Stegostoma tigrinum: one gene and its partners. The protein of the gene in region 2 purifies or fractionates together with the protein of the main gene of each other region. This does not show direct contact. Links are inferred from orthologs where the notes say so. Each region holds a gene or a part of one and is shown on either strand. Other genes may lie near its edges.

What was found.
Region 1: the proteins of coatomer subunit gamma-1 (region 2) and copb1 fractionate together in Homo sapiens (co-fractionation; 11 studies listed by BioGRID and IntAct, counting the BioPlex papers as one, with this or other methods). This does not show direct contact. The link is inferred for Stegostoma tigrinum from reciprocal best matches to the Homo sapiens genes COPG1 and COPB1.
Region 3: the proteins of coatomer subunit gamma-1 (region 2) and nudcd1 purify together in Homo sapiens (affinity purification with mass spectrometry; 3 studies listed by BioGRID and IntAct, counting the BioPlex papers as one, with this or other methods). This does not show direct contact. The link is inferred for Stegostoma tigrinum from reciprocal best matches to the Homo sapiens genes COPG1 and NUDCD1.
Region 4: the proteins of coatomer subunit gamma-1 (region 2) and cope fractionate together in Homo sapiens (co-fractionation; 6 studies listed by BioGRID and IntAct, counting the BioPlex papers as one, with this or other methods). This does not show direct contact. The link is inferred for Stegostoma tigrinum from reciprocal best matches to the Homo sapiens genes COPG1 and COPE.

The regions. Positions count from the first base shown.
Region 1 is NC_081370.1:30,699,659-30,706,820, forward strand, and holds the start of copb1 (coatomer subunit beta), read right to left. Parts: upstream 3,004-7,162; 5' UTR 2,808-3,003; intron 1-2,807. UniProt on the Homo sapiens protein: The coatomer is a cytosolic protein complex that binds to dilysine motifs and reversibly associates with Golgi non-clathrin-coated vesicles, which further mediate biosynthetic protein transport from the ER, via the Golgi up to the trans Golgi network.
Region 2 is NC_081364.1:7,961,500-7,968,624, forward strand, and holds the start of coatomer subunit gamma-1, read right to left. Parts: upstream 3,010-7,125; 5' UTR 2,867-3,009; coding exon 2,830-2,866; intron 1-2,829. UniProt on the Homo sapiens protein: The coatomer is a cytosolic protein complex that binds to dilysine motifs and reversibly associates with Golgi non-clathrin-coated vesicles, which further mediate biosynthetic protein transport from the ER, via the Golgi up to the trans Golgi network.
Region 3 is NC_081358.1:1,208,517-1,215,347, forward strand, and holds the start of nudcd1 (nudC domain-containing protein 1), read right to left. Parts: upstream 3,009-6,831; 5' UTR 2,990-3,008; coding exon 2,875-2,989; intron 1-2,874.
Region 4 is NC_081383.1:7,210,320-7,217,854, forward strand, and holds the start of cope (coatomer subunit epsilon), read right to left. Parts: upstream 3,010-7,535; 5' UTR 2,982-3,009; coding exon 2,877-2,981; intron 1-2,876. UniProt on the Homo sapiens protein: The coatomer is a cytosolic protein complex that binds to dilysine motifs and reversibly associates with Golgi non-clathrin-coated vesicles, which further mediate biosynthetic protein transport from the ER, via the Golgi up to the trans Golgi network.

The DNA of each region.
Region 1 (7,162 bases), on a different chromosome or scaffold from region 2:
TGAGGGAATGATGTAGGTTGACAATGTTACATTGGTGGAAGCAGATTGCCTTGGCAAAGAACTGAGTTAGGGTTGAAAATTCAGAGTCAAACATGACACCAAGGACATGCACAATCTGGTTTGGTCTCTAAGTTTTCATGGAAATGGGTGTAGTCAGCGAAAACAAAAGAGCAGCGTTTGTTTTCATGAAGTCCTTTTTATGTCAAGAAACTCCAAAACACAGTTTACAGCAATGATGCACATTTGAAGTGCAGCTAATGTGGTAATGTAGGCAAACAGCAGCAGAGTTGCACATAAGAAAATTCCACGAACACCAATGCAACCAAATAATCTATTCTATAACAGTAACTACGAGAGAAATATTTGACAGGTCATCAGGGATAATTCTTTTCCCTTGCTATTTTGAAGAAAAGTTTCTGTGAATTAACTAAGATGACACTTAGTTGGAGAAAATTTGTCCTTTCAGCACTGGGAGTCAGAAAAGCAGTGAGATAAATCAGAAACAATGCACATAAAGTAGAAGTGAAGTTGAACTGGATGGCACTAGCATACATATGGTACCTGAGATTGTGATTTTGCATTATGTCAAAGAGGTAGGGGAGAAATAGGTAATAGTTAGGGATACATCCTTGCTGAATTCAGAGGTAACACAGGACCAAATAAAAATACCTCATTGCAGGTAATTATTTGGCTATGACTGTGTCGATCAGAATGGAATTGCCCCTGGTTAGTTTCAATCAGCTGGACGATGCAGCAGATATGCTGAAGGAGGATAGCATGGCCAACGTTGTCAAAGGTTGAAGGCAGATTAAAAAAACTATGGAATGATTACTTATCATGGTCACAGTCATATAAGTTGCCAGTTGTAACTTTAATAACAGCTGACTTACAGCAGGAGCAGAAGGTTAATTAGTGAGCTTCAAACATGAAATTGTAGGAAAGATGGGCAGCAATTTGGGTGGTGACAGACATCCAAAGGTTTCGGAAAGGAATAGGGAGATTGGAGATGATGCACTGTGTCACAAACGGCAATAGCATTTAGCTATGAGCCATCACTGGGACATATCATAACACTGTAGTTTACATCATGGCTTTTTAGAACTCTGCCATTTGTTTATCAATAGCAGGAACTGAAAGGACTACACGGAATTCAGAAGCAGGTCACATCTCCCTTCCTGAAGGCCATGTATTCACCAAAAATATCAATATCATATAATAAGAGGTTGACAAACCATTTTTTCATACAGCAGGTAACAATTAGAGAAAAAAAAATTTACGTTTGCACTTTGATCTTTTATCTAATTTTAAGAGGATATTTCACACTCGAAGTAACTGAGATGTGCAGTGTAGTTATCAGGCTCTCAGGCACATTGTATTACTTAGTCATGAAATGTAGTTATTTTCAGGTAATATTCTGTCATTGGAGCTTTATCCTACATTTAAACTACACTTGCGTTTTACAGAACATTTAAGTATATCATATAGTTTGAAGCCAATGTAAATAAGGGACTTCATTGTTGATTGATACAATATTTAAGTTCAAAACTTCAATGCAACTTGCTCAAATTTGCAAATGCTAAATTATGATGGGCAAGGAAGAAACTCAGAAAGTGAGACAAGGGACATAAAATGTCCAGATGAACAAAGCTATGGCAGATGATGTTCAATATGCATGAAGGAAAATCAGATATATGTTGTTTGCAAATAGCAGGAAAGCTGAAGGAGACCAAAGTGTTTCCACAAACTTGTCACAAGATGTACAACTAAACACAAAATTCAAACCACAAAACCAATAAAATGATGAACTGCTGTAGGCACAAATCAGAGTAAGTCATGATCTAGCTGACAGCTGTCTGATCAGCTCAAAACTTATGATTACTGTATCTAGCTCTCACCACCAAATCACAAAAGGAATATTCAATGAAAGAACAGTGATGTTAATTCATAGAATTAATTAAGTCAGAATTATGAAGTACCATCAAGATTTCAGGTTTGAAAGAAAACCTCCAAGGAGATCGAAAAGGTAACAAATTCGGAAATGATAAATGGCAAATTACATTAAGAAATAAAGTGCAAAGTTAGGCAAGAAGACAAATACAGATTTAAACCAGAAAGGAGGTCTTATTGATAAGGAATGGAATGGAATCCCAAATATACTGGAGAAAATTATGATTCCATTTTAAAATGCACGCTGAAACTGAAGCTTAAAGCTTTTCTAAATGAAAGAAAAATTGGTTGACCGACGCTTCTGGTAAGCGATTATCTTATGCACAACTTGCTAGCAAACTTCACAAAACAACTCGCAGAAATTCGACCTTTCGATTTTTCGCTGTTAATGTTTATGTAGCAGCAGTTTCCTCTCGCTCAGTGCTGGGCATCCCGACAGTTTAAAAGCTGACCTGGCCATTTTGACTACTTGGCACTTTCCAGGACCAGGCAAGTTTTACCTGATTGCAAAGTCATTAGATTTGCAAAAAGGCATAATTCAAATGTTAAAGTGAAGCCCAAAGGAAGTGAACAGAGAACATTATGCTGCGGAAATATTAAGCTACATGCTTACACGGGGACCCTTCACTTTTGTAAAAACATCGGCTTCTCAAGGATTATTCAAAACCTCATTTGATTTTGCTTCAATCTAAAGCCGAAGAGTCAGTCCAGTCCATCTGAGGAGGGAGCAGGACCGCTCCCTATTGTGATGTAAATCTGCTCCGGGAAGCATGAGTGGGGCCGAGACAACAACAAAACCCGGCCTTAGGCCGCGGCCAGGAACTGGCAACCTCCGCTGCCAGGCGACGGTCTTACTGCACCTGGTCTCCAGAGATGAGAAGAGAAGGCCGGGTCGCTGTATCAACGGCGGCTGAAGAAGCGGGGAGGGGGGAGGAGGAGGATGATGATGATTGTGTGGAGGTAGAGGAGGAGGAAGCCGATCTCTTCCTCCCGTTGTCCTCCAGCTGACGTGGAACTGCAACCTCAATGATCGACGGCGGCCGAGCGGTGCCAATAGACACGCAAGCGCGCTCCGAGGAGCCACGTCACAATCCGCAATCGCAGGCAGACTTTCCCGTCCAGAGCACAAGTGTAATCAGGGAACTGCTGCACGAGAGCATGCATCATCTCTACACTATCAGAGCGACTCACTTCATAGCTTCCTTCTCCCTACTCCAAAGGTGCACATTTTTTTTGCCTGTCTTTTTCTTTTCATGCTTTTCTTCCTTTTCCATACATTTTTAAAAACTTTTCACTTCATAGTCCAGAGATGGTAAAAACTGCAGTTGTTGGAGTCAGAATTAGCCCCTTTTCTGAAGGGTCTCGAACCCGAAACATCAGCTTTCCTGCTGCTCTGATGTTGCCTGGCTTGCTGTGTTCCTCCAGCTCCACACTGTGCTACCATATCAGTCCAATTCCCTTTCGAAGACATCGATTGAACCAGTCTCCAGCAGTGTATTCTAGACCTCGAGTGCCGGCTGCACGGATAAAAAAAAAGTTATTTCCTCGTATTGCGGTTGCTTATTTTGCCAATTATTTAATTTTGTGTCCTTCGTCCTTTCACAATTGGGAACAGTTGCTCCATTTGCTCAAATACCTCAAGCACTCGCATACCTCAAGAACAACGTCTGTATCTTCTTTCCTCCCTGGGAACCAGTCAACGTTACTAATGGCATACATAATCTCCAGTCTCCCAGGTTGCCTTGATCAGCTACAGTTCGTCCATCCTCGCAATATGTCCACAGCAGACACCAGCGCTTTCGTCCAATACTCATCCCTGGAACGTCTGAATAACGAGGACACGTATGTCAAATTTCCATTTAGTGACTTTAGCTCTACCTTCAACACCATAATTCCAACCAAACTCATTTCCCAATCCTCCGAGAGCTAGGATACTCCTCCCCATTCTGCACTGGATCCTCAACTTCCTGAGCAGCAGACCACAATCGTAAGGATAGGTGACAGTACCTCCTCCATGATAATCCTCAACACCCTGAAAAGTTGTGCACGCAGACCCTTATTATAGTCCTTATATTGTCACAACAGTGTAGCCAAATTCAGCTGTAACTCCATTTACAAATTCGCTGATGACAACAACAATGAGATAGAGTACAGAAGAGAGATAGAGAGCTCAGTGGCATGCTATAAAGTCATCAATCTCTTCCTCAATGTCAGCAAAACGAAGGAACTGGCCATCAATTTCAGAAAGTGAAATGGAGGATATGCCCTCAGAGATAATGGGAACTGCAGATGCTGGAGATTCCAAGATAATAAAATGTGAGGCTGGATGAACACAGCAGGCCAAGCAGCATCTCACGAGCACAAAAACTGGAAGCTACGGGATGAATCCATAGCCTACATACCCCCAGGCGACACCGAGAAATACCTGGGTGCCCGCATCGATCCATGGGCAGGTGTGGCAGAAGGGCAGTGGGAGGAGAAGCTTAAGTCCTGGGTTCAGGGAATACAGGCAGCGCCTCTCCGACCACGGCAACGGTTGGAAATCCTAAAGGTGCATGTCATCCCCAGATTGTACTTCCATATGATCCTAACAGAAGCATCACAAACTACTCTTGTAAAGCTGGACCAAATCATCCGTAACGCCACGAAAGAATTCCTACACCTACCACCTCATACCGCAGACAGAATACTATATTCGAGCTACAGGAACGATGGTCTCGGCGTCCCAAAACTCGAAGTGCAAATACCATCCGCGATAATCCGCAGCTCTTGCGGTGTAACCTATACCCAACAAGAACCACAATATCTAGAGGTAGGCCGTACAGAAACAAACTATGCCGTAGATGTGAGATGGCAAATGAGACCCTACCACACATCTCAGGATACTGCCCATTCGTTAAGAAAGCTCGAATCAAACGCCATAATAAGATCGCTGACCAGTTGCAGAAACACGTCAGTAAGTACGGCTGGACATCATACGTGGAGCCCAGACTATTCGATACACACGGCTCACTATGGAAACCCGATCTCATATTTAAGAAAGACAAGAAGATCGCGATCGTAGATGTCACAGTGCGGTACGAAAATGACAATAAAGCACTGGAAACAGCATGGCGAGAAAAAGTGGAAAAATATAAACACCTGAATGCCGAGATCACGAAACTGACAGGAGGCGAGGTGCCCAGCTATTTTGGCTTTGTGATGGGCGCACGAGGCAAGTGGTCGGAAATGAATAACCGCCTCATGACATTCCTCGGCATCGAGAGATACGACACTTTCGCCCAAAAGACCTCGAGACTCACTTTGTCACTGACACTCGAACTTCTGCAACTCTTCAGTGACAAGTGAGGAAAAACCGCAAACGGTGAATTAAGTCCCTTCACCGAGACATAAGAACATCAAAGTTGCACATAACATCTGTCTCCGTTAATGACAATAACAACCTGCCTCATATAACATCAGTATCACCCGAGCCCTTGGTCTACGGTGACGCTAGAGGCCCGAAACGTCAGCTTTTGTGCTCGTGAGATGCTGCTTGGCCTGCTGTGTTCATCCAGCCTCACATTTTATTATCTTGGAGGATATGCCCTGTTGGTCACAATGGTGCAGAGGTAAAGATGATCAAGCACTTCAAGTTTCTAGGGGTAAATATCAAATAAGCAAAGAGTAGTGATAAACAGGTCCCTTTCGGAATGGCAGGCGGTGACCAGTGGGGTACCACAACGTTCGGTGCTGGGACCGCAGCTGTTTACAATGTACATTAATGATATAGACAAAGGCATTAAAAGTAATATTAACAAATTTGCTGATGACACAAAGCTGGGTGGCAGTGTGAAATGTGAGGAGGATGTTATGACAATACAGGGTGATTTGGACAGTCTAACTGAGTGGACGGATGCATGGCAGATGCAGTTTAATGTGGATAAATGTGCGGTTATACACTTTGGTGGCAAGAACAGTATGAGAGACAGGGATGAGTACACTGCAGTAAAGAATTACTGCAGCTTTGAACAAAGACATCTGGTACTGAGCTGAGTGATAAGATAAGGGAGTGAAGACAAAACAGTTAGAAACCAGAATGAACTGGACCCAAACTGCTAAGTTCTGCTTTGCACCATAGACATAGTTAAAGCGCATGCTTAATGAGACAATGCATATTAACTTTCACGCCCATGCTTACGAGACTGCTTAATTAACATAACATGCAATGTATGAAGAGTGTGGGACAAGGGATGACATGGGAAGATTGTGCATCTTGGAGCTCAGATTGGACAGAGCCGAAAGGGAAGGGGTGACTCCCTGACCTGTGTGCGTCTCAGGCAATGGGAGGCACCCGATTCTGCAGACTCGTAATAAAGCGCAAGTAACTTGTTTCCAAGACTTTGCCTCCTGACTTTGTGATTGTGAGCACGTGAATTTATATCTCACAAGCTTGGGGGCTCATCCGGGATCCACACTCCGAGTCGTCCGCTGGTGGGTTCGGAAGAAGAGAAGGCGTGCCCCGCTGAGTTCAGAGGTCCCAGACGTCCTTGCTTGCCGTTGGGCGGCTTGAGCGAGTCGTATCCGGATAGGAGACTCTGAAAACAAGTGGGTTTAGGTTAAGGGCCCTTGGAATGTGAGTCGATCGAGCAATTCTTGTGCACAAGACCCGGGTAAGAAAATTGACTATTAACTACTATCCGGGCGATCGGGGAATCTGTCCGAAGTGGGACAGGGATGGGGGCTAAAAGGTAAGAGCCCCCGGGAACAGAGTAGGGGGCCAAGAGGACGAGGCCCCGGGATTCCGCCCGATAGTCCGTTGGGGTGGATGTTAGAGCACTGGGAGGGTGAATAAACCCAGGGTAAGAGATAAGTGTAGGATGAGTACACTTTGGATATATCCGGCACTGGAGCTCCTCCGCATCAAACGTGCCGAGAAAATTCTGAGGATGAGGAGCAATTCAGACGTCTGTCAGCATGCCTTAATAATAAATTAGGGAATGAAATTGGGCAAATAGAGGGAACGAGGTGGTAGATAAATGCACCAAAGTGAAAGAAGCAATTTTGAAATGCAAATCAGGGGCAAACTGAAAAACTTTAATAACTATGTGGAAAAAAACTGCAGAGGAAATAACGAACTAATCTAAACTGGCGAACTGGGATAATAATGCCTGTTGAAGAGGGATTAGATTATGTGATCATGAGGAAAACTTTAAATTGTGGGAGGTGTTGAAGC
Region 2 (7,125 bases):
CAAATGCCTTTCTTCCATTAATTCTGCTGTCAGGGATCTTGTATCTCTAATTTCTTCAATGATGATTTTGAGCTAAAATACCGTGGTACATTTGGTTAATTAGTTGGGCTTTCTCTGAGCGATGAATGGTGCTAACTCTAGCGGGTGGCTGTATTTCAGATGGCAGTTGGCTCGCTCCAATTTTCTAAATGCCCTCGTCTTTCTACCCATAATGACAGAATGAAATTCTTATATTATGATTGGTTTTAGGCTGTCAACACCATCAGATTTAAATTCGATTGGCTTTCTGTATCTCGGTGCTTCGTTTAAGTAAATAGATCGATTTCAAACTTGTCACAACTTTAAAACAAGACTGCTACTTTGTCTGCCACCAGCAAGGCTTTCTTTTTCATACATTAGTTTCAATTTTTGAGGCTCTGTGTTCTGGAAACTCCAGCTGGTGCTCACAGAAATTTTAAAAAAGTGTGCATCCAAATACAGACAAAACACAAATCTCTTAAAGGAACCACACATTTTAGCTTCCTGCCTGCCACTTCACAATTACTCTACCCAATTTCATAACAACATATAATAGCAGCACTCAAAAATTTGTTGCATCCAATCAGTCCCTCCTCTACTGGCCCATCACTCTTTGAAAAATCAACTCTACAGTAAACACTAACCAATCACAACAGTCATAACTGACTTACTAGAATAAGAACAACAAATATATCGTTAAGTAATGTTAGATAAAATTTCGGTAAGGTAAAAAATATAAAACAGAAACATGGCTGAAAAGAGAACTGAAGTTTTACTCTCGCACTCATCAGGACAGCTGCAAAATTGCAAAATTTTAAATAATCACAACTTTTCTACTGCATTCACTCCTCGGCATCTTTCCTCCCAACAACTCATCTGGTCTGGGTGTGCATTCCTTCGTGGCAGATAAAGGAGTTACATCGAAGCAGTACCCACTTATTTTGTTATCCACAGGATGCCCATTAACCCCTGCAGCTTAATGAGGATTTGCGGTACACATGAAAAGGGAGTTGATTGGTCAGCAGGTCTGATTGGCTGAGGCATTGCTACCTAAAATGTAATTGGAAACAATAGCCTCAAACTGGTGAGGGGCAAGGTTTGAGCATATTCCTTTCGCTTACAAAGATCAAGATCCTGTGTATGAATGCATGTCAATTCCAGCAAACATAAATGAGTCAAGTTATGAGCTCGACTATTATCACTTGACAGAAAATTAAGTTCATGACTTTTTCTTTATTCTTTCATGAGATGTAGGCTTCAGTGGGTAAGAAATATTTATTATTAATTGCTAATTGACCAGAGATCAGTAAACATCACATTGCTGTTGGTCTGGGGTCACATGTAAACCAAACTATAAGAATGGCAGATTTACTTCCATAAAGGAAAAGAGTGAACTGGTGGTTGCCATTAGACTAGCTTTTTTTAAAAATTGCAGATTTGTATTAATTCTACCATCTACCATGACAGCATTCGAACGCATGTGCCTACTTTAGGCTGGGGTTTTGGATTTCTAGTCCAGTGACATTTCCACTTTTCCACTGCTTCTTTATTATGTATTTTTTCTTTTGTTCTAACAGATTTCCTGTACACTTCCAGTACTTTATGGATGAGTTTTATTATGAAACCAAGAAAATTACAACAATATGACTAGACAAGCCAACAAGGACAAGACAGTCTGAATATTCAGGAAGGAACTGGATAGGTAGTTGGCAGAGTAAATCAGATTGAGCACCCTATTGATTATTTGGACTTTGCAACAAGCCTAGTGGCTCCAGCGATCTTTTTTAGCCCTGCCTTTGAAATGTCTAACCATTAAAATGCTCACAGGGAACTCCTACAAATGTTGTCAAACCTGTAGAGACACTTCACAAATACTGACAGATTTGACATACCATTAAAGCTAATACTAGCTACCAAAAAAAACTGACACCAAAAAGATTGATGCTAACTTGTATTAATTAGTATACAGCCAAACCAACCCATTAGTAAGTCATCAAATGCAGAAAAATATGAAAAATTGATTGTAGCTAGACAGGAATCCATCACTGTCATTCACAGTTGTTTTTTGGACGGGCTGAAAAGAGATTTGACTGATGAGCTCAAAATGGCAAGGCATCTGTACAAGTAGATAGGAAGAAAGTGGTCCCAAAGGTGAAAGGATTGAGAACAAGAGGGCACAGATTTAAAGCAATTGGGAACGTGAGGGCAAAACACCATTATGCAATGACTGGTTAGGATCTAGAATGTGTTGTGCATGCAAGTGTTTGTGTGTCTGTGTATACAAGTGTGTGCTTGCACCTGCATGTAAGCAGATTCAATCAAGCCTGAGGAAGGGTCATCAAACCCGAAACAGATGATGCCAGGCCTGCTGAGCTTTTCCAGCAACTTTATTTTTATTCAATCTAGCCACTCAATAGGGAACAATATTACTTTTTGAAAACGAAGAATGTGAAGAATTACGAGGAGAAGGCAAGGGAATGGCACAGGGTGAATTGCTCATTCAGAGAGGCATCACAAGCCAAATCGTCACCTACAGTGCCAGAACCATTCCATGATGCCAGCCAAATCCCAGCCCTGCCCTGGCAAAGTATGTCATCACTGGGTTCAGATAGCTCCAGGCAACTGAATGAATTTTAAACACATTTACAGAAGTTAGTTTCGAGCCCACATTGAGCAGATTCAGAAAGGCTTTACCATGGAGCACCTGAGCTGACTACATCAGGAACTTGCTCATCACTTGCTCCCTTAGGCCGGTGCTGCCATAGTAACCAACACAGGCCCCTCATCCCGTCCTTCATGACTGGCACTTACCAGACTCCTCATCCTTTTTGTCAAACTTTTTCAACATCTTCCCAGCCTTTCGGTTTTTAACCTACTAACTTTACAGGCGCTCGAAGACAGCCGGCTGCTTCCACACTTTCCCTCTGGATCACCCCTACTCTCAAACAGTCTCAGCCCTCTGGCTCCCACTTCCGGTGTCAATGCCTTCACTTCCTGCCAACCTGTCACAACGACACGTCATTCGCCCCATCGCTGCGCATGCCTGGCGCCGGCTCCGCTCCCGGACACGCCGGCAGTCTGAGCATGCGCAATGCCTCCGGACTGGCGCGGATTCTGCGCACGCGCAGGACCGGCTCCCATTCCAGCGCTACTGCAGGTAGCCTCGGAATCCGTTCCGGCAGCGCGCATGCGTGACTTTCTTTAATGTGGTTTCTCTTCCCTTTCAAATAGGGTGTTGTCCATTACTGTTTAATTTATGCTATTCTTTACCTATCTTTCTTACCAAGGATATCTGAAGTGTAGAAACTGGCCACACTGAACCCAAATAGCCAAGTCCTGGTGTTTGTGGGGTTGTCACACAAAGATTAAAAGCACAACAGGAGGCCGTTTGGCCCATCTAGCATGACCTAGTCCTCTACATGAGCAGTTCAGAGAGCCCCACCTCAAGGGATCAAGAGATAAGACTTTAAGACATAGGAGTGGAACTAGGGTAGTTTGGCCCATCAGGTCTCATCGTTGCTGATATAATGTGGCATGGCGACTCAGCAGTTAACACTGCTGCCTCACAGTGCCAGGGACTGGGGTTCAATTCCACCCCCAGGCGACAGTCTGTGTGTGGAATTTGGGTCTGCCTGAGATTCCTCCGGGTGCTCCAGTTTCATTCCACAGTCCACAGGATGTGCACGTTTGGTGGATTGGCCATGCTAAATCGCCCATAGTGTCCGGCGATCTGCAGGCTAGATGGATTAGCCATAGTAAAGGTGGGGTTACAGGGATAGGTTGGGGGTAGATTTGGGTTACTTGCTCTTCGTAGGGTTGGTGTGGGCATTGGCCTGCTTCCACACTGGAGGGATTGTATAGTTTTAAATCCCATTCTCCTGCCTTCACACTGGGCACAACAAAGATGTTGAACCCCTCTTCTGTTGTGTCCATTGCCCAATTCTTTGGACAGGAGTCCTTTCTCTGTCCCATAGACACCTTCATCTGTCTCCAACACACCCCTCCATACCTAGTCCCCTACTTCTGTCCCCTTACTTACAATCAATCTGTTCACTGAAGATTGTCAATGTCACCATGATAATTTCTCTGCCCCCTTGTCCATTCAAACCAGTGTCCCTCTGAACTGTTTGCACTCTGTGCTCTTAGATCCAACTCTCACTTTGAAATCAAGCCTGCCAACAAGGGTGGTGCTGCTGTTCACTGGCATATTGACTTTGACATTGGGAAGGTTGAGCAGCAGCTCTCAAGGTTCCTCCTCTTATCTCTCCTGGACCATGACCCCACCATCGAACATCAGGATATTATGTCCATGGCAGTCAGTAAGTTCATCTTATTCTAGGCATGTCTTCCCCCCTCCACCCACCCCATATACCCTCATTCCCCACAGCCTCCAAGTTCACAGTCCCCCATCCCCAGACACCCTTCTTCTACCATCTTCCCAAGATCCATAAATGGGCTGCCCAGCAGACACAATGTTTCTGATGTAGGGTCTAGGCCCGAAACGTCAGCTTTTGTGCTCCGGAGATGCTGCCTGGCCTGCTGTATTCGTCCAGCTCCACACTTTGTTTCTGCTTGTTCCTGCCCCATAGAATTTACTTCTTACCTTGACTTCTCTACTTTTGTCCAGATCCTTCCCATATATATCTGCAACTCTAAGGGTGGCACGGCGACTCAGTGTTCAGCACTGCTGTACCACGGCACTAGGGACCCGGGATCAATTCCACCCTTGGGCAACTGTCTGTGTAGAGTTTCAGCATTCTTCCCGTATCTGCTTGGGTTTCCTTTGGGTTTCCTCCCACATCCATAGGTTAGAGTGGATTGGCCGTGGGAAATCGTAGCATTGTGCCCAGGGATGTGCAGGTTAGGGTGGATTGGCCGTGGGAAATCGTAGCATTGTGCCCAGGGATGTGCAGGTTAGGGTGGATTGGCCGTGGGAAATCGTAGCATTGTGCCCAGGGATGTGCAGGTTAGGGTGGATTGGCCGTGCTGAATTGTTCTGTAGTGCCCAGGGACATGCGGGCTAGCTGGGTCAGTCATGGGAAATACAGGGTGGTGGGGGCGGGGTGTCTGGGGGGGATGTTCTTCAGAGGGTTGGTGCAACTGAATGGGCTGAATGGCCTGCTTCCACAATGTAGAGTTTCTATGATTCTGACAGTTTACAACAGTTTCAAAATTTTGACTTTGACGACACCAACTGCCTCCTCTTCGACATGGATGTGAAATCCCTTTACACGTCCATCCCGCATCAAGATGGTCTCAGGGCTCTCCTCTTCTTCCTGGAAAATAGGCCTGAACCATCCCTGCCCACCACCACCGTCCTCTACCCGGCTGAGCTGATCCTCATTTCAAACAATTTCACCAGTAACTCTTCTCACTTTCTACCACGGCCGTGGGCTCATGCGTGGACCCCAGCAATGTCTGTCTCTTTGTGGGGTGCATGGAACGTTCCTTGTTCCAATCCCATTCGGATCCCTCCTCAAAACCCTTTCTCTGGCACTTCAAAGACATCATCGGTGCTGCTTCCCTCTTTACCTGGTCCATCTTTGACTCGTCCGTTCCTTTCCTCCACATCTCTGTTTACATTTTTGAGAAATCCACTGCAAACCCACCAACTCCCAGAGTAACTTCGACTATACATCCTCACACTCTGCTTCCTGTAAGGACGCCATTCCGTTCTCCAAGTTCCTCCATTCTGTTGTATCTGTTCTGATGATGCTGCCTTCTGTGTGTGGGGGATCGGGGGGCATGGGCTACCAGTGGTGGTGGCTTGCTGGTGGCATGAGCCTCATACTGTCCATCTTCTTCTCCAAACAAGGATTTCCCCAGCACAGTAATTGACAGGGCCCCCAGCCGGGTCCGACCCATCTCCCGCATTTCAGTCCTCACCCCCTGTCTTCCATCCCCCAACAGCAACAGGGTTCCCCTCATCGCGACTTTCTTCCTCTCCAGCATCCACATTCAGAGGATCATTGGAAACCATTTCCGTCACCTCCAGCAGGATGCCATCACCAGACTCGTTCCACATTCCTTCTGTGTCAGCCTGCACTGGGACTGTTCTTTCCGGGACACTCTGGTCCACTTTTCCTCCACCCCCAGCACCTCCTCACACCCCCACAGCACCTTCCCATGCAACTACAGAAGGTGTAACACCTGCCCAATAACAGTGCTGCTCACAATGTGGTCTCCTCTCCACTGCGGAGGCAAAATGCAGACTGGTTGACTGCTATACGTCTGTCTATAAAAATGACCTTGAGCTTCCAGTTGCCTGCCATTTCAACATGCCACCCTGTTCCCTGGCCAACACCTCTGTCTCAGGCTTGCTGCAGCGCTCCAGGGAAGCTCAGTACAAGCTGGAAGAACAACACCTCATTTTCTGCTTGGGGTCTCAACACCACGTTTAACAATTTGGAACCTGAACACCTCATTCCGTGTCCTTTATGCATTCCACACACACACACACCGTCCCATCCCCACCTGCAGCCCCCAGACCCCGCACACCCCACTCCCCCAGCCCTATCATGCCGGGCTGCTTTCAGCACCTCTGACCCATCTTCACCTACTTACAGTCCCCATTTCAGCTTCTCTCCTTCCCTGGCTTCCCATTATCCATGTCTTTGCCTAACTTCTCCTCTCTCTCTGGGCTCCATTTCTGCCTATGGATAGGGTAAATAGGCAAAGGGCGGTCAAAAGCTAGAGGGGCATAGGTTTAAGTTGAGAGGTGAAACATTTAAAAGGGACCTAAAGGGCAACTTTTTCACACAGAGGGTGGTGCATGTATGGAATGAGCTGCCAGAGGAAGTGTCAGATAAATTTGAGTACAATTACAACATTTAAAAGGCACCTGGATGGGTATATAAATAGTATCAGTGATAATGGGAACTGCAGATGCTGGAGAATTCCAAGATAATAAAATGTGAGGCTGGATGAACACAGCAGGCCCAGCAGCATCTCAGGAGCACAAAAGCTGACATTTCGGGCCTAGACCCTTCATCAGAGAGGGGGATGGGGAGAGGGAACTGGAATAAATAGGGAGAGACGGGGAGGCGGACTGAAGATGGAGAGTAAAGAAGATAGGTGGAGAGAGTATAGGTGGGGAGGTAGGGAGGG
Region 3 (6,831 bases), on a different chromosome or scaffold from region 2:
ACATCCAGGTTCTTTTTATTCTTCAATCTTTCTTCCAATTTCTGTCCTTAGTTTCCCAAAAACATCTGCAAGATCCTTCAATTTTTTATTCCAGAAAAAAGCAGCACGATGACAATGTCCTGAAATGTGAGCGATCAATCTCAACAAAGCCCCTTAATTTTGTACAGCTCAGAATTGAATGAACAGAGCTGCACATCTTCAATGATCTCCAAATAACTAAGCTTCTCACCTTTAATAACATCTCCTCACTGAATCCCTTCTGTATCTTTAGCACAATCTTCAATCCTATTCAAAGAAAGTTGTCTGAAAGTGTGCACAATGTTCTAACTGCAACCTAACCATCAGATTAATTCAGCACAGTGATACAGACAGGAAGAAGTGGTCAGGGAAGAGGGAGAGAATAGATGTGACGCCAATGAGGGTTGCGCAGAAGAAAAGGACGCTACCAGATCTGCCAGCACTGGTTTTGCGCTTCCAAAAGATTAATGCAGCCATTGAAATTAATATTTTACAATTGGAATAGCTGTCCTTTGATTCTAACTGCTGGTATTAACTAGAAGCTTCCATTTTGTAAGAAAAGTGGAGATACTGAAACTAGTACAACGGAGAAGCCCAAGTGGAATTTTAAGAAACTAGTAAGGAAAGGCTGTTCGCTCTGTTTTGCAAATCAGAGAGAAGGAGTCAATTCAAAACAGTCAGAATGGGCGAGTGATAAGAAATTTTGAAAGTATCGTATGCAGTTTTAGCGTCCTTACTTAGGCAGGGATAAAACTGTATCTGGTACAGTTTCGAAATGACACATTTGGCAAATTTCTGGAGTGAGAGATTTGTTTTATGAGGAAAGGATGAGCAGATGGGGCCTACATACATTATTGATTAGAAGATTTAAAGATGATCTTATTGAAACATTGAAGATTCTGAGGGATGTTCATAGGGTTCATAGGGTTGCTGGGAGGATAGGGAGTCTAGAACTACAAGACAATTTCAAAATAAGGAGTCTCTCACTTAAGACAGAGATGAGGAAGTTCTCTCAGAGGGGTACAAGTTTTTAGAACTGTCTTCCCCCAGAGAGTGGTGAGCAAGAGAGACAGCACGAGCATGAGACAAAGGCGGTCTGAACTACATTTCAGGGTTTCATCTTTATTCAACAAAGGAGTTAAGGGTGATTAGGGCAGGCAAGAAAATGAAGTTAAGCTCCAATCAAATCAATCAGTATCTCATTGAATGACAAAACATGGTTGGTGGAGAGTGCCAAATAGCATTCAATTCTTACTCAATTCTTTTGATCTTAACTTCTTTTTTGGTAGCATCTGTCAGAGGTTGAAATGTTTTGCCATAACCAGGTGTGACAAAGAACAGATGCTACACAGAAAGACACAGGGTACAGCAGAGAGATGGGCAGGATTAGTTGAGGATTTCTGCACCAGAAAGAGTAGGTATCAACATGACAAACTAAATGGCCTCCTTGAATTTTGTAAAACTCAATGGCTGAATCAGCTAGTGAACCAAGACTGATTTGAGATCAATACATTCCCAGAGATTACCAATCAAAATAAAATAAATGTTAGTCAAAACAGTCAGTTCACATAACAGTGTATCTACCTGCATTTACATAGAAGCTTATCATATGCTAAAGGATGAGTCAGTCAAGTCATTTTGAAGTATAGTCCTTCACAAGAAAGGAAACACTACTATCAATTTAGGTATAAAAAGACCCTCCAACAATATTAGAATGGTCTATGAGTGGTTTTTCTGCCATTGACAAAGGCATTGTTTTTTCGGGTGAACATTGAGAGAACTCCATAATTAACAAAATATTGCCCCACAATATCTTAAGCTTACTTAACTAAGTAGGCAGATCACTAATTTAGTATTGTATCAGAGATAATGGGAACTGCAGATGCTGGAGAATCTGAGACAACAAAGTGTGGAGCTGGATGAACACAGCAGGCCAAGCAGTTTGTGTTCCTAAGATGCTGTTTGGCCTGCTGAGTTCATCCAGCTGTACACTTTGTTATCACTAATTTAATATATAAGCTCTAGTCATTCAGCAGCCCAGCTGAGGTTCACCACAGATTACTTGCTGGCCACAACACTCTGGCTCAAGTTAGGAGTGCTGCTGCCATTTGAGCCAAACAATCCCAGCCTTATAATATTTCAATAAAAGCTCGTTGTTGCAATGAGGCAGCACTATATACCAAAACATTAATAAGGAAGCATCAAGGATTTTAATTCTAGAAGTGTCAGAAGTCACAACAAATGATACAAATTTTCTTGCGGTGGAGTCCAGTCTGTAGAAAGCTGAACTGAGCTGGTATCAGTCCTGGTACAGTTGGTCTCACTCTCAATTTTGGAGTTAGAAGGTTGTCGATACAAATCCTAATCAAGGGACTCGAAGACTAAACAAAAATCGCAGAAACGCGGATCCAATGCAGTAATGAGAAAGTGCAGCATGGTCAGAGATACCATGCGAACAAGACAGTAAACCAAGCTACTCAGTGTCCTTTCAGGACGTTAAAGGACCCCGCAGCCACTTTTATTTTGAAAAAGACGCTGAAGTAGGAAGGTGCCTGTGCCTGGGGAGCGATGCCTAAACCTCAGGCAAAAAGTGGAAACCAGCTGGATCATCAAGTCACTCCCATCAACAGCAACGTGTACAGATTGACTACCGTGTTTATTAGCATGGTGAATGAACTACAACAATCCTGGTGATAAGTAAAGTGTTAAAATAAAATGCGGCGATAAATGAAGGCGGACAAAAGAACCGATTTTAGGGATGTGAAAGGCGCTAAAGAAACGCAGCTTTCTCTGCCTCATGGGGTGAAGCGGGATGAGTTGGCGCTGGGGAAAGGAGTTGCTACCCCGGTAACTCACCGCCATCCAGGTCCACGGTGTAAATGGGCAGTGTTTCCAGGGAGAGTTTGTAACTATCAAACTTAGGGTCGAGGAGGTGACGGGAGACCGTCAGCGAACAGTTAGCCGCCGCCATCACACCGCCCGACAAACACTTCCGGTCACTCCTAGGGCAGGCCGGGAGTTGTAGTTCTGTCACTAGACCCGTAAACTAAGATCTTTAACCCTCGATGCGTCGCCATTATTTAATGTTCGCTGGCAAATAGATTGTGTATTTGCACACAAATTGAATTCTGGTTTCATATCATGATTTTCTGCAGTTTAGTTCCCTGTTCGGAGGACATGGGGTAAAGGATATTGCGTTGCACATTCTGTTTCCTCGCTTTTAAATCACATTTCGGCAGGGTTTAAGTTGCTACTGAGTCCCACAACCCCTCCCCACACACTCTCTCTCATTCTCTTTTCGTTGCTGTTGTTGTTGTTTCTCTGTTATTCACTAGTTAGCCCCAGGCTCCTTACAGTCCGGAACCGTTTTGTGGAATTGCAGGTTGGCGGGGAGCGGTATGAGGGCGGACGTTCTCCTTTGATCCGCACTGGGCCGTGCCCTGTTGTATGAGAGAGAGAGAGAAGTGAGATTGTGAGATACAAGTTGTTGGGGGGAAATCAGACAGGTAAGACGGGGCGATTCCGGACACAGAGAGGAAGTAATTTGGAATGGGGTTGAGAGAGAGTTATAACGATGGTGGGGTTCAGCGCAGAAATACAACCTTCAGTCCAACTTGTCCATGCCCATTGGATATTCTCAATTAATCTAGTCCCATTTGACCTCTATCACTCTTAAACCTTTCTTATTCCTACACCCATCTAGATGGCGTTTAAGTGTTGTAATTCTCCACTACCTCATTCCACATATACACCACTCTGTGTGGAAAAAGTTACCCCATAGGTCGGGGAGCTTTCCAGGAAAGGATGAAGGGGGTTTGGAGGGAGATGAAGGGGAAGAGAGGGGATGGTTGCAGGCTTTGGAGGGAGAGTGAGGCAGGGGTTGTTGGAAGAAGAGAAGGAATGGATTGCAGGGTGTTTCAAGGGATTGGGAGGAGGGGTGTTTGGAGGGAGGAGAGAGCATTTGGGAATAGAGGGGCAGGATTTAGATGAAGGTGATCTTAAAGGGGAAGTTTGGAGGTGAAAGGGATTTTGGATTGACGATGTTGTTTGAAAGAGCAGGGATGGGGTTTTAGACTGAAGGAGGGAGGGAGTTTGGATGGAGGAGAGGGGTAGAGGTTTTGGTCAGGACAAGAGATTTGGAGGGAGACAGGGTGATGAAGGACCAAAGGGATGTGGAACGGTTTATGTGAACATGGATGAGAAGTGAGGATGGAGTGAACAGGAGAATGGGACCAGGAGGGATGTGTTTGGGGAAGATAGAGGAGAGGAGCAGAGAGAGAGAGAGAGAGAGGACGAAGGGAGGGAAGGGGAAGAGTAGAAGTGTAGGATGATGGTAGGGAGGCCAGAAGTTCTGAAAATTGTAGAAGATGTGGTGTGGGGTCTGTAGATGACTTTGCTTCATTTTGAACTGTGCTGCAACCTCTTTCCGTCTAAATTCTTGGAGGCACTTTTCCTTCCCTGACTTTTGGTGTCTCTCATCATGAGCGCAGGTCTTGGTGCTCTACAAAATCAGCCATCATATCATTGTTTTTTTGCGGTCTTTGATTTGCTAACAAATGCTGTTTTTTTTCCATAGATCTCCATGGGTGACAAATGTCCTAGCTGGGTATAATTAGTCAACTTTAACAGAGTCATGTAATTACTGGTATTAGGACGTAAGGCAACAACATGGGATGCATATTGAAGAGCCCTACAGTTAATGTGGGTTACCACTGAGAAATCATTGCAGTTCAATTTTCAGAACGATTGAATAGACAAGGTTGATTTTGAGATTGGTCATAATGCAGTAGCAGTGATAATTACTGGGTTGTTTCTTGTATGATCTGTAGAGAATGTATACTGAAAGGCCAGAGTACAATCTGTTCCAGGCTTTTGATAAATATGAAGCAGTTTCAGTCAGGTATATCTTACAAGTGAGCGTGTTTCAGATCTTCCATCTCAAATCGAAGTTAAATGCAATTTATTGTATCAGTTCTGATGATGGGCCTAGGCCCAAAACATCAGCTTTTGTGCTCCTGAGATGCTGCTTGGCCAGCTGTGTTCATCCAGCCCCACACTTGTTATCTTGCAATTTATTGTGATGTCTTTTGCAGCCTCTAGGGGGTAGTCACCTACTACAGATGTATTTGGCAAATAGAAAATGCAGATTTTAAAACCTTGGAGCTGGAATATTTATTGGTGTGAGTGAAGCTCTTTTTTGTGACATGCTTATCTTCCGAGTGTGCCAGGTATGTAAAGGGAAGATTAGAAACAGGTAATCATGGAACGTACACAGGTATTATCAGTGTCATTTTTATTACGTAAAAAATACTGCGGTTGCTGGAAACCTGAAAGAAAGACAGAAAATGCTAGACAAACTCAGCAGGACTGACAACATCTGTGAAGGTGCATTGAGGGATGTCCATTCTGCGAATAACAAATGTGATTAAGACTTCAGTGGCAATAGGGGTGTGATAGGAATAGACCATTAGAAATTTTACATTTGGTGTGATGTGGTGTTTGAAACTCAGTCTAGTGTCGGAGATACAGTTTGTGCATCACCTTATCCAGGAAGCAGCACAGAAGGGGCTGATGTCAGGGAACAGGTGGTGATAAAAGCTTTTGTATTATTTTTCTTTATTTCATATCAAAATTTCAGTAATGAACAGCCACCACCTCTTTCTGAGTTTTTTTCCTTCTGCTTGTAACTGTAATCCAAAAACAACATGATGTAATAGGCTTAGCATGAAGTAGAAATGAAAAAAAGCCTAAAGGCTAACAAGAAGCCAACAATTAGTTTCAAAACTAAGAAACAGATTGGAAATGGGTATTTTTCCCAAAATGAGGATATGTGCTGCTATTAGCTCAACTTGTTTATTTCCTTTCCTAAGTACCTATCTCGAGTCATAGAATCCCTAGAGTGTAGAAAGAGGCCTTTCACCCCGTCAAGTCCTGTACATATCCTCAAAAGAGCATCCCACCTAGCCCCTGACCCCCACACCATCCCCGTAATCCTTCATTCACCATGGCCTACCTGAATACCTCAAGACACTATGGGGCAATTTAGCATGGCCAGTCCACTTAACCTGCACATTGTTGGACTGTGGGAGAAAACCAGATCACCCCCTGCAGAAATTTGCACAGATGCAGGGAGAATGTGTAAACTCCACACAGATAGTCGCCCTGCATTGTGAGGCAGCAGTGCTAACCACTCTACCCCCCCCCCCCCCCCCCGCCACTTTCTTTGGGGCAAGAGATGAGGGAGAAAAACCTTAAGTTGTTTTGCCCATGTGCTATTCTCTGTGGAAATATTACCAGTGTATTTGAGCTGTTGTAGCTGATGTTTTCATTAGGTCTCCAGATTTGACTGTGAGCACAATAGCGCAGTGATTTTGGTAATAAGTAATCTGGAGAGTGAGTTCCACTCAAATTCTACATAGATAATTACCCAGGACTGAAATCAAACCCTGGATCCCAGTAAGTTAGCAGTGCTACCCACTGAGCCACCCTACTGTTCTCTGTTAATTCATACAAAGAATTTTAGTGTACATATCAGAATGTGTTTGTAATTCTATTTGTCTGAAAATCACTGTTTTTATACTATCGCAGAAATCCTTTATTTCACACACTTGTTGCTCCTCATATTGGCATGTGAATTCATATCTGCCGTCACAAGAATGTTAACTCAGTTGTGAAAAGTCCAAATGCACAAAGCAGTCAGCTGATAATTTTGCTTTACAAGCATTTGCAGAAATATAGCTGTCAAAACATACTGATGAGGGCAGAGCAGTGGATGTGGTGTATATGGATTTTATGAAGGCATTTTGATAAGGT
Region 4 (7,535 bases), on a different chromosome or scaffold from region 2:
GTCTAGGTCGAGAAGGTGAGATCTCAGAGTAAGGAGTCACCCATTTGAGACAAAAATGAAAAGGAATTTCTTCTTTCAGACAACAGGGAATCTGTGAACTTTCTTACCAGACAGCTGTTAAGGCTGGCTTGTGAAGTGTTTCAAGGCTGAGACAGATTTCTAATCAGGAAGGGAACTGAGGTCTAGGGAGAGAAGACAGGAAGATGAGGTTGACGAGTATCAGAATATAATCTCAAATACTGGAGAAAGCTGGATGGACTGAATGCCCTACTTATGCTCCTACCTCTTAAAATCTTGTCTTTAACAGCTAAACTACAACAATGACTATTTAAATAAGAAACAACTGGTAGGAAGGAATGATTACAAAACAATTTCACTGAGGTTAATTAAAATCAAATGCAATAACAGTACACCTCAAATATTTATAACATAAACCTGGCTAATATTCACCTCATTTTTCTTGGCTCAAGCATGCTAAAGCGCCACTAATACTGCAGAAACCAAGATCTAAATCATGGTAGATTACCTCTGGTGACTCTGAACTCAGTGTTTCTGAAACCATCTTGTAAATGCTTTGCCCTATTTCACAGAAATGAAATATGGATTTTTGATAAGTCAAGCAAAGTACTGCTCTGTGATTTGGTTCAGAAGGCATCTATATGAACTGGTTGTAAATTAAAGATTAGTATCACAAGAATGAAGGAAGAGTTATAAAAATGTATGCATTTGCCTTAGTTGCTAAAACATGGAATAGACCATCAAAAAGACTGATGGGAAACAATGGAAACGGATCAGTATTTGAAGAAGAAGCTAATAAGGGTTTTTTTGTGGGGGGGGGGAGAGGGAAGGACAGAAGAAAATAATCCATTAGGTTAAAGAGAAGATGGAAAAAGCTACAATTTTATGGCCCATCAACAAGTTCCCAAAGAGGATAGAATTTTCACATTGCTTATTGTTGCATCAATTATGAAATTACCCGGGAAATTTCAGGACACTACATATAATTCCAAGTCAGGATGATGCCAGATCGAAAGGAAATTGGCAGTGATGCTGAAGCTGTGTAGTTGATACCTGAAGGAGGAAAGCTGGAAGTTACTGTGAAAGGAGGCTTGATCAGTTATGTAGTGCATATTACGAACACTAAACCAGTGGTGCAAAAATGTAAGAATATGAGTTAGGAGTCTGCCATTTTACCCTCATGCCTATTCCACCATTCACTAAGATCAAGGCTGATCTGAGTGTGGCTTCAACTTCATACTCCTGCCTATGCCTGATAATTAACAGGGGAGTCAAAGTTTAAGAATCTCTCTCACTCTATTAAAAATAGTCAACGACTCTCCCACCACTGCTCTCTGGGGAAGAGAATGCCAAAGGCTCATGACCAACGTTCCCTCACTCTTTTTTTGCACTGTATAGGTCTCAGAAGTCAGACTGCAGCAGTGGCTTCCACAAGCCAAAACAAACTTAGAGGGAATGTTGCACATGACCCTCAGAATTTTTAACAATTGTCTTACATGGACAGCTCTTAAACTGTTTTAGTTTCATAAAAGGAAACTATCACTACTACGCACTCTGTCAAGTCCACGCAGGATCATCTCTTTATCCTTTTAAATTCCAATGGATACTGGGTCGGACCGTCCAACCTTTCCAGTCCAAGAACTCCTTCTAAATGCTAAATAAGATAACTAAAACAGTACATACGGCACTCCAGATGTGGTCTTCCCGATGCCCTGTACAACTGCAGTAAAATATCCCTACATTTATATTCCATTTCACTTGCAATAAGCATAATGCGAAGATGCTAGCGTTGGACCAGGCAGAAAAGGTCAAAAGTCACACAATGCCAAGTTATAGTCCAACAGGTTTATTTGAAATGACAAGCATTCAAAGCTGCCCCTTTGTCAGGTGAAGTGCTGAGGGAGAGCTGCCTTGTCAGGGTAGCTGTCACTTCAACTAAAAATGGGACAGCGCTTCGCAAGCTTGTGAATTCAAACGAATCTGTTGGACTATAACCAGGTGACTTTTTGACTTGCGTTTGCTTTTTCAATCACTTGTTTTACCTTTATTCTAATTTATGCAAGCCTAAATAGATATCAAATCCCATTGAGTGCAGTGAAATAAAGTTGGCTGCTCTTGTTGATGCCAAGCTTTCAGGGTATTCAGAGACAACACCATGTAAATGAGAGGAAAGAATCCTGTTACATATCCAAAATAACATGATATAGAGCTGGATGAACACAGCTGGCCAAGCCGCATCAGAGGAGCAGGAAAGCTGACGTTTCGAGTGGAGATCCTTCTTCATTTTCTGAGGAAGGGTCTCGACCCGAAACATCAGCTTTCTTGCTCCTCTGATGCTGCTTGGCCTGCTGTGTTCACCCAGCTCTACACCTTGTTATCTCAGATTCTCAGGCATCTGTAGTTCCTACTATCTCTATTACATACCCGGCCCGAATCTTTTAGAGAGTGGAGAAATTTAGAGAAGTCAGGAAATGAACCATGCCTTGCAGGATATACATCCACTATCCTGCTCTTATACTCATAAATGCGACTGCTCCAATTGACAGCAGTTACTGATCAAAGAAAGGACATTCACCTTGTCTTAGCTGCGCTGGCTCTCCAAATTAAAAATATGCCTAGTTTCCATTTTCTGCTTTCTCACAATAGCCCTGCATATTACTTCTTCTGAGGTAATAATCTAATAGCCTTTCAAATGCTGCACTCCCTCGGCCCTGACTCTCGGACGGGTGCCCAGCTCCCTGGGCGCTGCGACCGTTCCAGAGCCGCCCCCGGACTCCGATGAGAAAAGGCCAACTTTGAAAGTAAATAACAGCAGAGAAGACCCAGGGTGCCAAGCCGCCCAACTCCCACCTCCTCACCTTGACTTTCTGCGCCTCGTTAATACACTGCTGGTAGCTGCCGATGTAGAAGCTGTTGCGGACATCGAACAGCTGGTCCCCATCCCCCTGCTGCATGGCCGCCATCTTCGTGCCCAACGCGCAGGCGCGGCACACGTGGCGCCGGAAGTCCTCATCCTCCTCACTGCGCCTGCTCGGATCCCGTGTCTCTGCCAAACTGTGTCTAGAACTGGGGCAAGTTATGATGGTAACAAGGTGTAGAGCTGGATGAACACAGCAGGCCCAGCAGCATGACAGGAGCTGGAAAGCTGTGTTCATCCAGCTCTACACCTTGTTATCTCAGATTCTCCAGCATCTGCAAGTTCCTACTATCTCCAAGCCGTTATGATACCTTGGAAAATCTAATTTAATACAGATCATTACTTCTAATAACAATGTAATTTGTTATTGCTTAAAATGCGTTTTAATTAGGCTGTATGGAATTATAATATTCAATAAAAACTTCTGAATAATAATTGAATAATATATAAAGCTAGAATATACATACTAAATTAATGAAAAATAAATAATTATTTCATATAAAACTACGATCATTAAATAAGTTGAATTTTTAAAGTAAAATCAGACTTTTAATGAAAAGGTAAAATTGCCATGCTTCCAGAACTACCCAGTGATGTAAAAGATTCCCTTATGCATTTTATATTAAATATTAAACAATATTAGAAAGAATATAAACATCTGGAATATTAACGTAATGCATTGAGTTATTTTCCAAAGTATTACCTATAAACTATTAAATGAATAATAATCATCATTAATGCCTTTGTTGACTTTCAAATCAATGATCCAATGCACTCTGGGCTGGCCTCCTGTTTTCCACCCTCCCTAATGTTGCCGCGAACAGAAAATCCTGTTGTTTGTCTCAACTTGCAATAAGTTCTACTCCCCTCTAACTCTTGTGCTTACTTACTTACCAAAGTGGCCAGGAAATTTCACTGATTCCTGGTCAAGCAATATCTCAATTTAATATTTATAGCATTGTCTTCAAATCCTTCTGAGGCCTTAAGCTGCCGATGGTGCTCCTGCCTCTGCGCTCTTCTCTGTACCCTCTTCCAGCTGTAAAACATTCTAAGTTGTCTGTACTCATTTAATTCTAGCTTCTTGAGTATCCCCAGTTTTGATCGTTGCACCATCAATGTTCATGCCTTCAAGTTGGATACAAAATTGGCTGTTCAATAGAAGACAGAAGGTGGCCATAGATGGAAAGTATTCAGCCTTGAACTCGGTGAACATTGGTCTTCCGCAGGGATCCGTTCTGGGGCCCCGACAGTTTGTGATTTTATAAATGAGGAAGCAGAAGGGTGGGTTAGTAAATTTGCCGATGATGCAAAGGTTGGCGGATAGTGTAGAGGGCTGTTGTAGGTTGCAATGGAACATTGACAGGACACAGAGCTGGGCAAAGAAGTGGCAGATGGAATTCAACCTGGAAAATTGTGAAGTGATTCATTTTGGAAGGTTGAATTTGAATGCAGAATACAGGGTTAATGGCAGGATTCTTGGCAGTGTGGAGGAACAGAGCGATCTTGGGGTCCACATCCAAAGATCCCATGAAAATTGCCACCCAAGTCAATAGGGTTGTTAAGAAGGCCTATGGTGTGTTGGCTCTCATTGGCAGGAGAATTGAGTTTAAGTGCCACGAGGTTATGCTGCAACTCTACAAAACCCTGGTTAGACCACACTTGGAATATTGTGTTCAGTTCTGATCGCCTCATGATAGGAAAGATGTGGAAGCTTTAGAGGGGGTACAAAGGAGATTTACCAGGATGCTGCCTGGACTGGAGGGCAGGTCTTATGACGGAGCTAGGGCTTTTCTCATTGGAGAGAAGGATGAGAGGTGACTTGATAGAGGTGTACAAGATGATGACAGGCATAGATAGAGTGGATACCCAGAGACTCTTTCCAAGGGCAGAAATGACTATTATGAGGGGGCTTAATTTTCAGGTGATTGGATGAAGATATAGGGGAAATGGCAGAGGTAGATTCTTTACGCCTTGAGTGATGGGTGTGTGGAATGCACTGCCAGCAGTAGTAATGGACTCAGATCCATTAGGGACATTTAAGTGACTCTTGGATAGGCACATGGATGATAGTAAAATGTAGGGTATGCAAAGTAGTTTGATCTTAGAGTAGGATAATAGGTTGACACAACATTGTGGGCCGAAGAGCCTGTACAGTGCTTTACTGTTCTATGTTTGAAGTGCCAATACCCTGGTATTCCCTCCCAACACCTCTTTGCCTCAAGGGTGGCATGGTGGCACAGTGGTTAGCACTGCTGCCTCACAGCAGCAGGGATCCAGGTTCGATTCTGGCCTTCGGTGTCTGTCTGTGTGGAGTTTGCACATGCTCCCCGTGTCTGCATGGGTTTCCTCCGGGTGTTCTGGTTTCTTCCCACAGTCCAAAGATGTGCAGGTGGATTGGCCATGCTAAATTGCCCGTAGTGTTCAGCATATGTAGGTTACGTGGGTTAAAACGGGAATGGGTCTGGGTAGAATGCACTGAGGTTCGGTGTGGACTTGTTGGGCTGAAGGGCCTGTTTCCACCCTATAGGGATTCTAAGGATTCTGACCCACTCTGTTTTTTTAAGACTTTCAATTGGAGTATGGCAAATTTTGATCATATTAGACAGGAACTTTCAAAAATTGGTTGAAGTAGATTGAAGTTAAGGGATGATTGGCAAGTGGGAAGCTTTTAAAAGTAAGATAATGAGAGATCAGAGACATTAGTTTCCTGTTAGAGTGAAGGGTAAGGTCGGTAAGAGTAGGGAACAATAGATGAATAAAGATATTGAGGCTCCAGTCAAGATTAAGAAGGAGTCAAGTATTAGATATAGACAATTGGGATAAAGTGAATCTCTTGAAAATTATAAGGGAAATCAGGAGGCACCAGAAGGGGCAAGCATTAGTTTTGGCAGATAAAGTTTAGGATAATCCAAAGAGATTCTACAAGTGCACTAACAGTAAAAAAGCAACAAGGGAGCAAAAAAGGCCCCTTAAAGGTTAATGTTTTTGTCTTTGCATGGAACCAGAAGATTTGGGACAGATACCAAACAAATATTTTACATCAGATTTTACTGTGGAGAAGAAAATGGAGGCTAGAGAACTTGAGGGAGTAAATATTGATGTCTTGAAAACAGTCCACATTGCAGAAGAGGAAGTGCTGGAAGTCTTGAAAAAAGAGAAAGGTAGTTAAATCTCCAGGACCTGATCAAGTGCATCCCAGGATGTTGTGGCAAGTTAGGGAAGAAGTTGCAGGGCCCCTGGTGGAGATATTTGGGTTATCTACAGCCACAGGTGAGCTGTCGAAGGACTGGAGGAGTGCCAATAGAGAGAAGCCTGGGAGCTATAGACTTGTGAGTCTGATATCAGTGGTGGGTAATTTCTTGGACGGGATTCTGAGAGATAGGAGTTACATGCATTTGGAGAGGCAAGGACTGATTAAGGATAGTCAGCATGGCTTTGTGTGAGGGAAATCATGTCTCACAAACTTTATTGAGGTTTTTGAGGACATAACCAAAGAGATTGATGATGGCAGACTGATAGACATTGTCTGCATGGACTTTGATAAAGCCTTTGACAAGGTTTCCACGGTAGACTAATTAATAAAGTTAGATCACATGGGATTCAGGGAGAGCTTACCAGCTAGATACAAAATTGTCTTGATGGTAGGAGACATAGAGGGTAGTAGAGAATTGTTTCTTGGACTGGAGGCCTGTGACCAGTGGTGGTCCACATGGATAGGTGCTGGGTCTACTTTTGAATGTCATTTATATAAACAATTTGGATGAGAATTTGGGAGGCATGGCTGGTTAGTTTGCAGATGACACCAACATTGACAGTACAGTTGACAGTGAAGATTATCTAAGATTACGAAGGGATCTTGGTGAATTGGGTCAATAGGCTGAGGAGTTACCGATGGAATTGGACACAGTACTTCAGAAGTGGCCTCACCAATATCCTGCACAACCTCAACACTAAGGTAAAAACTCCTATACTCAAAGATCTGAGCAATGAAGGCAAGCATGCTAAACACTTTCTTAACCACCCCATCTATATGTGATGCAAATATCAAAGAATTGTGTACATGAACCCATAGGTCTCTCTGTTCTTCAACACTGCCCAATGCCCTCTTAATAGTACATGTATTGTCTGTTTGTTTTACCAAAATGCAAAATTTTGCATTTATCCAAAATAAACTCCATTCAACTAGTTGGGCCGAAGGGTCTGTTTCCATGCTGTATGACTCTATGAGTCTAAAAGACCATACTTAAAGTTTACTTCAATGACCAAGCCTTTGTTCATTTTCCTTAATATGGCATTATTGATTTTTAAAGAATTAATCTTAAAGAATTAAAAGGGTTCATGAAGCAGAAAAGGTTTCATCAGAGCTTTTCTGAACTTAGGAGCCAGGCTGGTGAAGCGACCGCCACTCAAATCAAGCACTCAAGTGGCCGGAAGTTGAGCAGTGCCAATATCTTAGTGTTGTAGGACTGGAGAAGATCACTGAGTTGGAGAGGCCATGATTCCAACCCACTTATTGTATGCTAACCCTTCAAAATGACGGGATGCAGCATTGTTAGAAATGTATCCTATGGATGAGATGTTAAATGGACCACTTGCTTAT